2 linked regions of the Lepisosteus oculatus genome follow. The protein of the gene in region 1 binds, or shares a complex with, the protein of each later gene. Links are inferred from orthologs where the notes say so. Each region holds a gene or a part of one and is shown in the gene's direction. Other genes may lie near its edges.

Region 1 (7,012 bases):
CACTTTCAACAATTTCTACTGAGCTCACTGTACCACAGAATGCTCTCAGAGCTACTGAACATACTGCAGTCCAGTTTTTTTTTACATTTAGCTCCTGAAATACATTGCGTATGACATCCACTACAAAACATCCTGCTACCTAACACTCTGTATTACTCAAACAAGCACACTAACTTTCACATTAGCTACTCAAGCCCAACTAATTAACCTTACACAAACTTGATGTTGTAAATGGAAAGTTACCCTTGGATGAGATCAGTGCCAGAAGGATGGGGGACTGTTAATTCCTTACCTTCGTGCAGCAAAGATTATGTGGTCAGCCCTGATCTGAAATAAAACCACTCTTCAGATCTGATTTGAGAGAGACCGCAGTGAATTCTTTTCGTCGTCTGTAGTGGATGATGGATCCCTCAGGAACACTGATTACAAAGTGAAGCGAGCCTTGTATTTCTCTCTCTCTATTTCACTATCCTTCTCAGTTGCCCAGCAGCTCTGTCAAAACACTGCGTGCTTCAGTGCTGCATAGCTGCATTGCCCAAATTTGCACCAATCTCACTGCTATAAACATGTACACACGCACATACAAGCACACAATCAAGAGAACAGCTCCCCTAACCTCTATCAATGCCCCCCCCCCACCACCACCACCCCCACTCACAGTGCCCTGGCCAATGAGCCAATGAGCTCTCTCCTGTGCTCATATTTACAGTATCAGATAAACCTTATAACAGTTTATAACACAGAGGTAACAAAATAACAAACACTATTATGCAATTTGTACTTATTGTCCAAAACTGCCATCTTATCAGCATTTGAAAGATAATCTATATCAGTGGTGGGCAGGAATAACAGGTACCCCATTTTTTTTTACATAAATGTGGACCCAGCCTGAATCAAATTCAGTCCAGGCTAGAGGCTCCACTGCCAGAGTCCTGAGAGGCTAACCAGATGCTACACCATATGGAGATCTCTATAGGAAACTCAAAATCCATACAGTTAACTTAGTTTCAGCTACAGTTAAGGCCAGTATTGCATTGGATACAATATGTGTGTTGCTGTAAGGTGTTTTTCTATGAAGTATTTATCTGTGTCCCTCTTCTCTGCCTTCTTTTCCTGTTCAAAGTATATCCAAATTGGGGAAAATCCCATGTACTGGGGCTCTGAGGCCGTAATTCAGCTCCTTTCAGATAACATCATTCCCTACTACATCTCCAACAGCAAAAGATCAAACAACCAACAGAGTACAGGTTACGTGTCATAAGAAAACCAAGTACAAGTGCTTTGAGAAAGACTGAATGTAAGTGATTGGAGAACTACTCAAACTACAAATAACTTCAAATTAACGCACGGCGATTTGACAGCCCACTCAAAATGGTTTAAGACAGTTTTCTGAGAAAATCTTTTTATAGCAATAATGGTTCTTCTAATGGTATTATCAGAATTGTTTTGTATTATTATTATTATTATTATTATTATTATTATTATTATTATTATTATTATTATTATTATTGACCATAGACTGTTTCTGATTGTAATGCAATATGCACGTCTATGCAGGGGGAATAGCGATTAATCTAGGGTGTAGTTTGGAGTCACTGTGTAAACTTTACCATAAAAATTCGCTACGATAACAGTTTATCAGCGATGTGCTCAAGAGAGCGTATAGGCAATCGTGCTCACGTTATTGACAGCGTAGTTCAGCATAACCATCCAGCCGCAAGTGATAACATCGCTGAACCTCGGCAATGTCTCATCTCTCCCCTGCCGGCCGCGGTACACCGAACTCATCAAAGGCAAATTAAACCATCTGTCTTTGAACGGCCGTGACAGGAAGGCAAGGGCGAAGCTGGGGCGAGAGATCCTTGGACTCAGTCAGTTCGAATTTGTCTGCAGTCTGTACCCGTGGTGCAGATTGGGACCGACAGGGATCGTCAGCTATTAGCACTGCGGCAGCTCCGAAATTAATCCGCCTAGAACATTATAAAACAAGTGGCTAAATTAGACATTGGAGCTTGTTGTTGGGCTAAAAAGACAAACGATGAATAGCTGAACGATAAACCACGGATAACAGTCAAAATGCCCTGTTCTTGTCATAGAAATAAGGCAGCGTCTGAGTTTCTAACATGTTGAAATTCGCAAATACTTGTGCCTACAATTACTGTACAGTATGTCTATTAAATTACTGATTCCTGAGTAAGGCGAACAGGTCTTTAGCAAGCAATGCGGTATTAGTCTTATTGTGGTTAAATGTGTGGTGGCTACAATACGCTCTACGCATTGCAAAGCACAAATACGAACATTTGAAAGATAATTATGATATACAATTATGATGTCTCAGTAGTAGAATATTAACAGAATAGCTTTCTGTGTCATAATTTAAACCTGCAGGGCTTTGTTTTGCATCATCATCATAATAATATATGCCTAGAAAATTACATAACGAGTGTATAGGCACCTTAATATGGGTATCAAGATAATGTGGAGTGTTAGATTGCAAAAACATACTGTAGCCTTGATGCAGATTATCATTGAGGGCCAAAGTGTGTAAATCCTGATTATTTAGGTATTGCAATTCTGACTTTTCATTATATTTTATTCTTTATAGTTTATGTTTGTAAATAACACAAGAAAGACAGTAGACAACATATTACTATAATGTAATAATAGTTGAATCCTCTTCTGTCATCCTCTGCATTCATTACATACTATTATCAACAATTTGCCTACATTTTATCAATGATAGTAGGTTTCATTAAATTAAGACTCAGTAATCTGTTAATTGAAGGAAATCCACTAAGACTGTTTTTTAAAAAAATAGTTAAAAATCAGGAAATGAGTGAAAGACAAAAAAGAGCACTAATGGAAGATTCACACTGAAAATAAATATAAAGACAATGAAAATGAAGTTATCACATATAACTACAACAAATTTGCATAGTTTTTAAATGTGCTGACTTTTTTTTCCAGAAACATAGGTAAATTAATTATTCTGATGATCATTTGCTACCAAGAGTGGGTTGTACTGCAAAACTCACAGGCTAGTAGTGTGTGTGGCCACAGACCATACAAGCTGACATTCTGTGACGCATGCTTTGCAGAGCAAAGCAAAATCACAAGGCTGCAGTTATGGCCTTGTGGGATTCTGTGCCAATCCCTCTTGCAGATCCTTTAAGCCACATGGCTGTTCACTGGTCTCTGAACTCCAGTTCAACAATCATCTATAACTGTCTCTGTTCAACTGGGCACAAACGTTCAATGAGGTTCACATCTAGTGTGGGAATCCCAGGCGTTACAGTCACATTTTCACCTTGCCAGAAAGCCATTGTTATATGAGTAGTTTGAGGACATACATTGTCCTGTTGGAATGTTGTCAAGACAGGATGTACCTGTAGGAAACGCAGTAGGAAAGTGGGGTCCCACGACTTAATCAGTTAGATTGCTGTCAGACAGAGTTCTGAAGTAATAATAATAATAATAATAATAATAATAATAATAATAATAATAATAATAATAATAGATGTGACTAGATACTCCTGTCTGGACCTTCACTCTTGGTCCTCTGCATCGATTGGTCTGTTGTGCACTACAATAAGTGTGTCAGCTTGCTGACATTAATCAGAGTGGTCTACACAAAACCTTGAATAGTCTTTAAAGAGAATTTGGCTTCATTGCTGGCAAGGTGCTATATAAATTTTCTAGAGAGTGGTACACGCCATATGTGTTACAACAAATATATAAGAGGTGCATATATAATAAACATTACAATGTCATAAATATTACAAGGTAGAAGTGTACATTTGTCGTTGTATAATGCAAAACAATATAGTAGGACACATCGTAAACATAGGAATATAGATCTCCTACACAGTATCAAACGTATTTCATAGGAAACTTTACTTGACCTTAAGGCGATTCACACATCCCCACATTAGGTGGCAGCACCATACAAGAGTGAGGAAATTTTGCATACCACTTCATTGAAAGAACAACTCTTCTTTTGGTTTGCCGACATGGCTGCTCAATTTTTTTCTGATGAGATACACAACCTGAGCAACCTGTGTGATCTAGTGACGAAATTGCTGAGAATTTTAACTTCAAAAGGTACAACCTTATCTCAGCAGCGGAACGGTAGTGTAATTTGAACAAAACTATTCTAGAAACAACATTGCCCTTACAAACATGGTGGCTAGCACAGGCGAGCAAGGTGAAAGTTCAAAGGGAAAAGTCCAACATCAGTCTGTCATGGTGGTTTTTGCATGAGTTAGGTGTATGTGTGACTCAGATTGTAAAAAAAACCCGACAAAAATAGTGCATTTCAGCTGGTGACGATTTATTTTCAGTATCATTTGTACTGGTTTTGTATCTGAAATACATTTGGAAGAGAAGTCTTTATCGTTTTCTTTCCAGTTCAGGTAAATGAAGTGATTTACATGTGTAGCCAGCTTGTTGTATATGTAACAGGATCGAGCGAGTTCAAGTAGATGGCGAAAAGCGAATTCATTTTAAAATTTTCATCACAACGTTATTTGCTGTTCGTGTAGTACTCTTTCGTTGGCCGAAGAGCTCCGCAGAAGAGAGCGGAGTGAAGTTAGTGTATGGTACTGTAAGGTTTTCTAGTCCTGGACAGGACGAGGCCAGGAGAATAGTCTCAGTGAAAGTTTCACTTTAACTAAAAGATCACGTCTTCGGTCAGTTGCCTCATTTTTAACAGTTGCCCAATCGATTATCCTTGTTGCTTTTCAGAACTAGAGTTACAGACCTCTCCTGTTAGTGGCTGACTATAAATTTCATCATAAATATTTTTCTAAAGATTAAGTACAAATTAGAATTTGTGCTACGTGGATCACACTGATGTGTTTGAGGATGCGCATCACATGAGCCCCTTTTTCTCAGCGACTGGTCATTTCTTTTAATGGTGCCATTGTGGCAAAGTGAATTGTTAGTAAGGAGTTCCTCACGCCTGTTTCTCAGTCGCTCTTATTCTCCATCTTTTCTCTGCTGCAGTGGTGTGATTGTGCAGCGATGTCAGACCCTTGTGGTGGGGATCCCTTGCCCCCAGGGGTGTCTCGGCCTGCGCTGCCCGGAAGGAGACTCCCTGCCCCTGTTGTGACGGGACGCCTGCCCTCCATGCGTTCTCGCGACCTCACCCTGGGGGGTGTGAAGAAGGTAGGAGTGAATAGACAGAGCATGCAGCTCCCCAATTACATAGCAGATTGGTCAGAGACAGATTTTATGAGGTGCAGTGCCATCTGGACTGATGAAGTTCTTGGATGTGTTAATGTAGGTGCAGTAGAATCGAGTGGAGCTGTGCTAATCAAAATACTAACTTTAATATTTCTTGCAACATTTTAGCAAGTGAAATATTCCAGTTGCTTTGCAACAGTTTTCTGAATAAATAGCTGAAGGCATCTTTGGGGTAAGCCTGTCATATGCAGTGTCTTGCACTTCTCCGACCAGTATATTTTTGACGCTAAAAAAATTGTGAGGTGTCCTGTTATGCTTCACTTGGCATCTGGGGGTGAGGGGGCAAAGCAGGAACATTAAGGATCTGCGCCTGTGACTGTAAGGTTGCCGGTTCAAATCCCGCGGCTGGCAGAGGAATCCTACTCCGTTGGGCCCCTGAGGAAGGCCCTTAACCCTAACTGCTCCAGGGGTGCCGTACAATGGCTGACCCTGCGCTCTGACCCCAAGCTTCACTCCCTGTCTGTGTGTCTGTGTCTCCATGGAGAAAAGCTGGGGTATACGAAAAGACGAATTCCTAATGCAAGAAATTGTATAGGGCTAATAAAGAAACATTATTATTATTATTATTATTATTATTATTATTATTATTATTATTATTAAACTGTTTTTCTGATGAGTTTAAAAATCTGTTTCATGTCCTTCTGGTAAAGAAGGTTGAGAACATAAAGTCAACTAGATCTAGGTCTACATATTAGTCTACTAATAGGTGACTGTGACTGGTAATTTAGTGTTGATCTCGCATAATACCTGAACATTCATAGTATATATTTTACCTGTTATAAAAATGCTGCATGGCAATTTTAGTGTCACATGTACTATCTGTTGCCTAAGAATCCGGAAAACCAGGAATGCTAAAGAAATTTCTAAACTTTCAAGCATTCAGACTTTTGACTTTTGTTATTTGTCCCATTTTTATTTGGTTGCTGTTGGATGAGTTTTAGATGGCATAAATCTCAGATGTCACAGGCCCAATCAGTGTCTTTTTTTCTGTATCTTACAGAAAACTTTCACCCCCAATATCATCAGCCGCAAAGCCAAGGAAGAGTAAGTAAATTATCTTTTATAGACAAGTACCACTAGGTCTCTTCCACAGAGTTCATAATGAGAACTAGGCCTAAATGGAAAAAAAAAATATTATAGTCAGATCAGCCTTCACTGGTTTGTTGTATATTTTAAGTACTTCATCTGTATTACATTTTTTTTTCAATCTAAAAAGCTTAGCAAAACATGAAGAAAGACTCAAGTCTAGTAGCAAACTTGCATTTGCAAGCATAATTTAACATTTTTGGTTAGAGTGAATCCAGTGTCTATGTGCATGTTGTCTATCTATCCACAAAAGCCTGTGATTTTACAATGACAACCACAAAACAGAGCCAGTACCAAAATAGCATTGTTTGCGAGGCTGGACTTATGAATTATGCAGGGCGTGAGAGGGCAGGAAGTTCAGACAAGATGGCAGCCTTTATCTGGACTACATGACCCAATAAACTGGGGGGACAGAGCTGCTGTCCTCAGTCACCTGAACAGTTGTTGTAAGAGAGGTGGTCATACAACAGTTTAAAAGCAGGAAGCAAAGGCTTCCAGGGTTGGTCATATCTGCTGTCTGGAGGACAGACGGCAGAGCTTCTGAGATACAAACCCACAAGTTCCTTTTACCCCTCGGTCTGTCACATCCATCTCCCTTCTCTCTTGCTGCTTGGAGGGACTGCCTAGGCCTAGACAGTGGAGGAGATTGGTACTATTAACAAGGGAGGAAAATCCTTTCTTT
Region 2 (7,881 bases), on another chromosome or scaffold:
GTCACATACGACACTACTGCCTACTGGAGAATCAGTGTTGATTGGAGGTCGCCTACAGGACTGCATGTCTGTACGAACCCAGAAGGCCACATAGGTCGCCAAGAGCCAAAAGTGCCCTGGCCAAGTAGCCCCACCCTCCCCTTGGTGGTGCTCAGCAGAGCCAGTAGTGTGCCAAAACTCTGTCGGGCTTGAACCCGTGTTCAAAGAGCAGCACCTGCCCTAGGGCAAGAGCCTTTACCAGCTGAACCTCTCAACTGGCCACAATGCATGTAAGTATATTTAGAAGTCCGCATAAAAACTGGCTTTGGTCAAAGCTCAAGAAAGGTATTTTCGTAACACAAAGATGGTGACTCAGAAAGTTAAATTCAGACGATTGTTGAGAGAAGTGTCAGCACAAAAACAAGGTGGCCAGTAAGAATAAATGTGATTTTGCAACTAATGCTCACAAACATGCATGATCTTTGCATGTTACTGAATTCCAGATCTGAAAAAACAAATATTGCAATGCTCAAACTGTCCTCTGCTGTATAATTAAGTGTGTGACAGTGTTCTTGACACATCTCAGAAGCTAAGTGAGCCTGGGCCAGGTCAGTATGGGCATGCCCTCTAAAAGAAAAACAGCTGCTCTAAGAGATGTTAGAAGACCAGTAGGTGGTGCCGATTCCTCTGGACCTGAATTCTCAAACCGGTTCCTCAGTTTGCGGGGACACCGTGCTATAGGAGATGGTGTTTGAATTAAACAATTAAACTGACGTTCAGACTACACAGTCACTACAGATCCCATAGCTCTGCTTGAGAGAAGGAGTCCTTCCTAAACTCCACGCTGCGTTTACACAACATGTCCTCCTTAAGTCAATTCTCTCATTAGTAAAGTACTGTGGGATTCTTTGGAATGGTTAGAAATACTGTTTTAATGTTTTAAAGTCATCTACTAAAAATCAGTGCCTTCTTATGAGAAGAACTAAAAATTCCCTTTAACTAACCTACATTCAAAAACAAGAGGGGTGAAGCTCTACTTTAAGTGGAAAAAGGGCAAAAGTAAGCTCAGGGGTCAGGTGTCCAAGTGTCCAAGTTTACCCCCATCACAGCACAGGACAGGTTTTCTAGCAATTATGACCACCTGCCTTCTCGCGTCATCCAGGGAAACACAAGTTAAGTTGAAGTTAAACACTCAAAATTTGAAACTCAGCATCAAGATTGCACAGAGATACAAAACAGAAAGAATCTGAAAGAATCATTCTTAACTGAATAAAATTGGGTTGGTAAACCACCCTGAATTGCCACTAAGCCAGTCAAAAGCCTACAAGTGCTTTAAAAAAGTCCTTGTCTTTGCTTATGATACTGTGGTATGAGTGGCAGCATGCTGGAGCAGTGGACTGTGCCCTCACTTCACAGCTCCAAGGATCTGGGTTCAAATCTGGCTTTGTGTGAGTGAACAGTCCACCTGTGGGGCCTGTTGTCGTGTTCTCTGAACACTTTCCTCTCCACCCCAGTAAACATGCTGCCCAGGTAAATTATCATCTCTAAACTGCCCCATGTGTATGAACATGAGCCCAGAGGCACACCAGGGTCCTGTCCAGCGTCACGGAGCTCTGGACACACAGCGGCCACGGAGACCAGATGATGGACGCATCAGTGAGATCATTCCATCTTCCACAACAGCAAACCAGCATCAGCCAAAATAAAAACTTGCTTCTCCATGTCTCACGTGAAGACGAAATTCCCAGCAAATGATATGTGCTCCGCCACTCCTCGTTTCATGCTTTGGAAAGCTACAGAAAAAAATGCAAACGTGCTTCAAGTATGTTTCTTTGTACCTCGAGGCTTAAAGCTATACACTCATCCATGTGCAAACCCAAATCATTGCATTTGCAACACGCACACATTTAAGAATCAAAACTAGTGCAATAATTACCATTTCAAAGTCAAAATTAGTGCAACTGCAGTACTGGGCTAAATTTTACGAACACATTTCATCAATTGAGACAGTTAGCATAAACAAAATACTGTAAACGTATAAAGCAGCCGTTTGCCTTTCCCAGTCAACACCCGTGTCTAGAATTGCAGGCACGGAGAACGAGGCTTGCGACGGACTTCAGGGCACACATGGAAAACCGGTGGCACCCTCCCGCGCTGGCGATGTAGCTGGAGGCGATGCGGTACAGCCGCTCGGCCCCAAAGGTGTTGAAGTGGCCAGGCAGCACCTGCTCCACGTGGCCCCCGTCCGCCAGCTCGACCAGCCGCTCGCAGCTGGAGACGTAGTCGCTGACCCTGCTGTACGGCAGCCAGTCGATCATGGAGCCGTCGTACACCACGTCCCCGCTGAAGAGCATCTTGCGGTCCCTGTCGTGCAGGCAGATGCTGCCTCTGGAGTGGCCGGGCATGTGCAGCACCGACAGCTGCCTGTCGCCCAGGTTAATGACGTCTCCTGAGGAAACAGCAAGAGCACCTTCTTCAAGGAGAACTGCAGTCCCACTTTCTCAGACCTCTAGAACAACTCGGAGCCGTGGTAGCGCAGACGGCAAGGGCGTCTAGCTCCTGACCGGAAGGTCCCGGGTTCAATCCCAGGTAGGGTTAAGCGATGTAGCTTGCCCTAATTCCTTCCAGACGGCTCCCAGCTCCGCTCAACCTGCGAGTACCGGGGTTAATCCTTCCGGGGGAAATCGGTCAGCCGGAGCGTGATGCTGACCACATCACCTCCAGTGTCGGATGGTCAAGAAAAATGGTGGCCCTTGCCCCCCTATCCCCAATGGGCCTTTATGGCCTGTAAAAGGACCTACCTACCTGTAACAAACTAAATCAATCGACAGTACAGAAGAAAACTCACAAATTTCAAAGTAAGCACAAAACCGTGCATTCGGAGTCGCCGTGTTGTGGCAGACCCCTGGGAACTTATTCGAGTCCCCAAGAATTGCAACGTGAACCGGCCCTTCCTGCTCACTAGTTCCTGCCCTGACCAATGCAATGCGATGTACGAGCGAATAAGTACAGGTAGCGCAGCCGACATTTCACCGCAGAATTATTCCAGCGTGATCCCCATGCAGAGCTAACAAGCAGTATTTGTCTGCAAAACTGTCTCGAAGTTGAGACAATATTTCTATCGGATGAAAAGAGCTGTATGCACAAGCCGGCTTATTTACAACGTAATGGGGCCACATCATCTCACCACAAGTTTTGTTGCCTCGTTGTGAATGGCAGGACAGGGCACTGCACATACCTGGAAATTTCATGTATTTTGTGATGTCAATTGGAGGTTTTACCAGTTACTGTGTACATCAATGCTGACCCCGAAATATGAAAATAATGTTACAGTCCCCCTTTAATATTACTGGTGGGCTGTGAAACTTCTCACGGACACGCTGGAAGAAAATCCCTGGGAAAGTTTGAGTCATCTCAGGGAAAATGGAGGCTGCTTAAGGCTAGGAACTACGGATGGTTATTCTATGGATAATCAATATCCCTCAGTTTTCCCTATTAGTGTCAATAAAACATGATGTCACTTTTCCTTTCCATCTAAAGCAGGGATATTTTTTCCACATCTCAGGTTCCACAATCTAGTAGAGCAGCCGTAGGCTCTGTCTGTCTTTCTACAGGAGAAGCTATTCCGAGTGGGTCCCAGCCAAGTCACGTATTTCAGATGTGTTAGTTCATTAAGAGAAAAGACTTTTACAGCAACTGCTGCTTTGAAGATGTGCAATACTGATGTCACGGTATCACAGCTGGGCACTTTCCTCATTCACACTCTCTCATGTTGTGAATATAAGGTACAGGAAGAACAGCTTACTATCCACAGTAAAGGATTTCCATTTTACTAGTTGTTATTTTACCAGCTACTTGCATGCAAACTTAATTTTCACTTCCAGTTCATTTTCTTAAAATCCTAATTACTGCCTTCTTGTCCACTTTGATTTCGTTTTTGAGGATTTTTAAACACTGCATGTGAAATTAATGAATTAATGTATTTCTGAAGACAGTATGTGGGTTGCAAGGTAGTAGACATCTCAGATTGAACCCTGCTGAGAGTATTTTCAAAGTGTCCAAGTCTTTCACTAGTTTTCTGCTTATAATAGAAGGGCAGAATGGTCAAGGCATGAGAGACTGACCTCAAGTCTAACGTCTGAATATGTGTAAAGGTTAGTGCATTCTTTCGTGTATCTCCCAAAAGCTTTATAAAAATGCCACTTCTATACAAACCCATGGTCACATTGCAAACTGTACTGGTTTTGACAATGACTCTCGTCATTTTGTACGTTTCCCGTTGTAAGTGAAATAAACTCATGTAGGCTCCCCATATACCAGAAATAATTTCTGATATATATCAGAAATATCAGCGCTTGCAGATTTGTCTCTTTCAGCAGGAACGTCGGTGTCCTGCAGCTGGGTGTGAGAAGAGCTGTGCCGAATCGTACTGTGCCAACAGTGGGATCACTGAAGTATCAGTGAGAGGACAGAACAAAAGCGCTGCTGTGAAGGTCATGTGCGAAAATATCAGGCCAGAGTCTCCCAGGTCCAGTTACTCTGTTACCGGAACTGGCTGAAATCGATCCACAGCGGCCCGACATCGCCTGTCCCGGTCTGCCCGGACGAGGGACGCCACAGAACTTGCGCAGTCCCGCCGGGACACCCCCCAAAACACCCCACTGCCACGGCGCGATCACCTGTTCACTGCGCAATAACCAGCTCCTGGTTAGGAATAATAAAGGCAGACGTGCAGTTATTCCAGTAGTATCTCCCCGTAACCCCAGAGATATAGTTCTCTCAGAGAGTCTAGGATATTTAATTGGGAACGTGTTTTTTTCTGCACCGCCGTGCTTTGACAAACTTTTGGGCTACAGTGTTGCGCGGAACCAGCAGCAGAGCGAAGAGGCCGTTTCAACCCCCCGAGCGCTGCTAGTTGGAGATACAGTATTATTCCCTCTCTGGTGTCTTCAGGGGGGTGGAAGATTGTGACTATAGTGCAGGCAGTCTGTCATCCTTCTTGTAACGAATCAAGGAGGCGGATGAATCTGTAGAGATGCAGTTCATCGGATTTGGGACCGATTACGCTCCTTAACGCAATTTTCTCATTGCTCGTCTAGAATAGCAGTGTGTGGTACAGGAGTACTTCGACCCGGTACCAATGCTTTTATTTGCTTCATTGGCTATGAGCCCTAAACGTCCAAATCAATCGGAAAGGCACAGATCGCATAAATACACCGAGCGCAAGATTGTGTTCTGGATATCTTTTCCGTTTACAAAAAATACCCCCAAGCAACAACGTTAATGAAATAGTTTATTAGAGATATAACGCCGCACGTCTGTGGAAACCTATGTTTAGTTTTTGATAATACTCAAGCTCGTCTTCTCGATGCGACACCGGAAAAACGAGAGCGCAGCCTGCGCCCTCCCCCACCTTCCTCGCCGTATGGCGTCTTTAAAGCTCACTCCGTCGGGCCGAGAGACGCTGAACGTACCTCCAGCAGGGCGACAGATTAGCCCTGCTAATGCGAGACGGCCTCTGTGTAACTCTGCTGTTAATTAAGCAGATGCCACGGGTATTTTTCGCCACTTGTTGAAAACCGGTGTCCGGAACGGTAAGGCATTAGTTTACCTTATCATAACGCGCAATATGACCACGCACCGCACCGTCGCCGTCCCTTTCACGCACAAGCGGCTCTGGTGCATGCCTATATGTGCTAGAGATATTCACCTTCTTGCAGTACGCGAGTGGGTCGCACAGCCTGCACTCTGAACTCGCTGGCCCGCCAGCCGGGTGTCGGAGCCCGGGCGATCTCGCCGTCCGACAGCCAGGTCACCATCTCAAAGTTATCCCCCGTGGCGAGCGCGTCGGCCTCGGCTCTGTGAACCCCCACCTGGCGAAACTGGTGCAGCCCGCCCGAGTGGTCAAAGTGGACGTGGGTCCCGATCGCCAGCGGGGGGTTCTTCCGGCCGGACTCCTCGCCCAGCAGCCCCTTGGCGCGCAGGTAGTCCGGCAGGCTCCTGAGGCCCAGGCCGGCGTCGATCACCACGTCCTGGTGCGACCCGCGGACCAGCCAGATGTTCGCTCTGTTGCCCGACTCGTAGAACCTCTCCTGGATCCAAAACACGCCGTCGCCCAGGCACTTGTGAGCGTACCACTCCGTCGCAGACATCCCGACACCCGCCTCCCACCCACGCGTAATAAAATAAAGACACCGAGCTGTCAGGGACGTGGAGCCCCGAATCCAGACTCGGTCCGGTCCGGTGAGGAGGCGCAATGCAAACCAGGGTTGGCTTGTGCAGAACAGGAGGAGACCGCGACAGGCGCTCAGCCTGCAGGGAGAAAAAGCAGCTGAGTGGATAAACAAGGTCCGAGGGGCTCGTGATTGGCTCGGACCTGCGACTGCGCCCCTCCGACACGCTCCGGCCACACCCGGCGGCTTAAAGGCGCAGCCCTCTCCTGCTCGGTGCGGACTGCTGTCCCTGAACCAAAACCAGCCGGGATCCCGCCTCCTCGGTGTTGGCTTTGCGGAGGTTTCCTACTTTCAGGACCTCTGAAGCGCCTGACAGACGGGAATATAGTTGCGCTTTTGTTTCTAGTCGGTGTGAACGAGAAGCCCGATAATATCATTCTTTCCAGAAGACATGTAGTAGTAATACACAGCATATAATGGCATATGACCGATAAGGAGAATATATGTCCTGTAGTCAGAGGGCAATGAAAATGAAATGTTAATAAATTGAGTTATAGTGAAGACCCGCTCATTTCCTATCAAAGACCCTGTAAAAGCTGCTGATTGTATTTGAAAGGGAGGTGGGTCGCTCCAGAATACCGAATATAACGTAGAAAAAACAGGCTTCTGAGCTCCACGACACATTGTGAACCTGCTAAAAATATTATTATTATTATTATTATTATTATTATTATTATTATTATTATTATTATTACGGGGCCATGCTTAAAAACAATATTAAATTATGTTGCAGATGCATTGTATGGTTTCGCAATGTTTTAAGGCTATTTTCTTCACGTTCTTTAAACGCGTGGTTTATTATCTGAAGTGTTTATGTCACGCCGGTGTTTTTTTCCCCTTAGTTTCAAGTAGATTTCTAGGTGAAAAATGTTTTACCGTATTAATTATGACTAATTCGTTAGTTTTAGTTCACTAATCTGGGTAGGTTTTCATACAGAGAAGTGTTTATCACCCGTCTCCGAATTAACAAAAGTTAATCTCTTTAAATTCTGCCGAGCAAGGGAAACGCAGTACTAAGGAATCTCTTCACAAGGCACCTGTGGCCTCTCAGCTATGTGTTTCAATACACTGGCAAAATCTGACTTTTTTCATCCTCAGACTGGTAAAGTAACGTGCTAATTGCCCTTACTATGAATACAACTTACCTATGGGGCGTTTACGTGACACCCTGGTATTCACACTCTGTATACTGATTTAGGTCTACCGTTTTATTTCTTTGCCTGACTCCAGCATTGCTTGTCCAGCTTCTGCTACTGTAGCTGCACTGCCATGGTATTACATTTATTTACCTGCCCCGAGAGGCTATACGAAAGGATCCGTTTTAATCTTGAACAGAGAAACGTTCAAAGCAGGAGGCTATTCGACCCACCTAGTATTGAGAACTTGATTCCAGTATTCACAATTCCCCGATGCACTGACAAAGACGGGGACCATTGATCAAAATCAACAGCAAAACACCAGTGCAAATTAAGTGCGTCTATGGGAGGGGGATTTAAATCTAATTACAGGGGGGAATATTTACAGAAAGGGCTGTGGGGTCTGGAATAAGCCGCCCAGTCATGTTGCCAGAGCCGACAACCTGACTTCCTTCGCGAAAAGGGTGGACCTTTGTATCAATTACTTACGAGCAACCGAGCTTGTCATCAGAAAGGCCGAGTCGCCTCCTCCA

What was found.
Region 2: polr3d (region 1) and polr3g share a complex: the UniProt entries of both Homo sapiens proteins name them as parts of the RNA polymerase III complex. The link is inferred for Lepisosteus oculatus from reciprocal best matches to the Homo sapiens genes POLR3D and POLR3G.

Annotation. Positions count from the first base shown.
Region 1 is NC_090697.1:62,943,129-62,950,140, reverse strand, and holds the start of polr3d (DNA-directed RNA polymerase III subunit RPC4), read left to right. Parts: upstream 1-3,994; 5' UTR 3,995-4,101; intron 4,102-4,211; exon of another isoform or gene 4,212-4,412; intron 4,413-5,004; 5' UTR 5,005-5,022; coding exon 5,023-5,166; intron 5,167-6,244; coding exon 6,245-6,288; intron 6,289-7,012. UniProt on the Homo sapiens protein: DNA-dependent RNA polymerase catalyzes the transcription of DNA into RNA using the four ribonucleoside triphosphates as substrates.
Region 2 is NC_090698.1:72,665,290-72,673,170, forward strand, and holds the start of polr3g (DNA-directed RNA polymerase III subunit RPC7), read left to right. Parts: upstream 1-4,850; 5' UTR 4,851-5,573; intron 5,574-5,689; coding exon of another isoform or gene 5,690-6,131; exon of another isoform or gene 6,132-6,491; intron 6,492-6,922; exon of another isoform or gene 6,923-7,881. Other genes in the region: acyl-coenzyme A thioesterase MBLAC2, read right to left, coding at 2,043-2,428, 5,690-6,131. UniProt on the Homo sapiens protein: DNA-dependent RNA polymerase catalyzes the transcription of DNA into RNA using the four ribonucleoside triphosphates as substrates.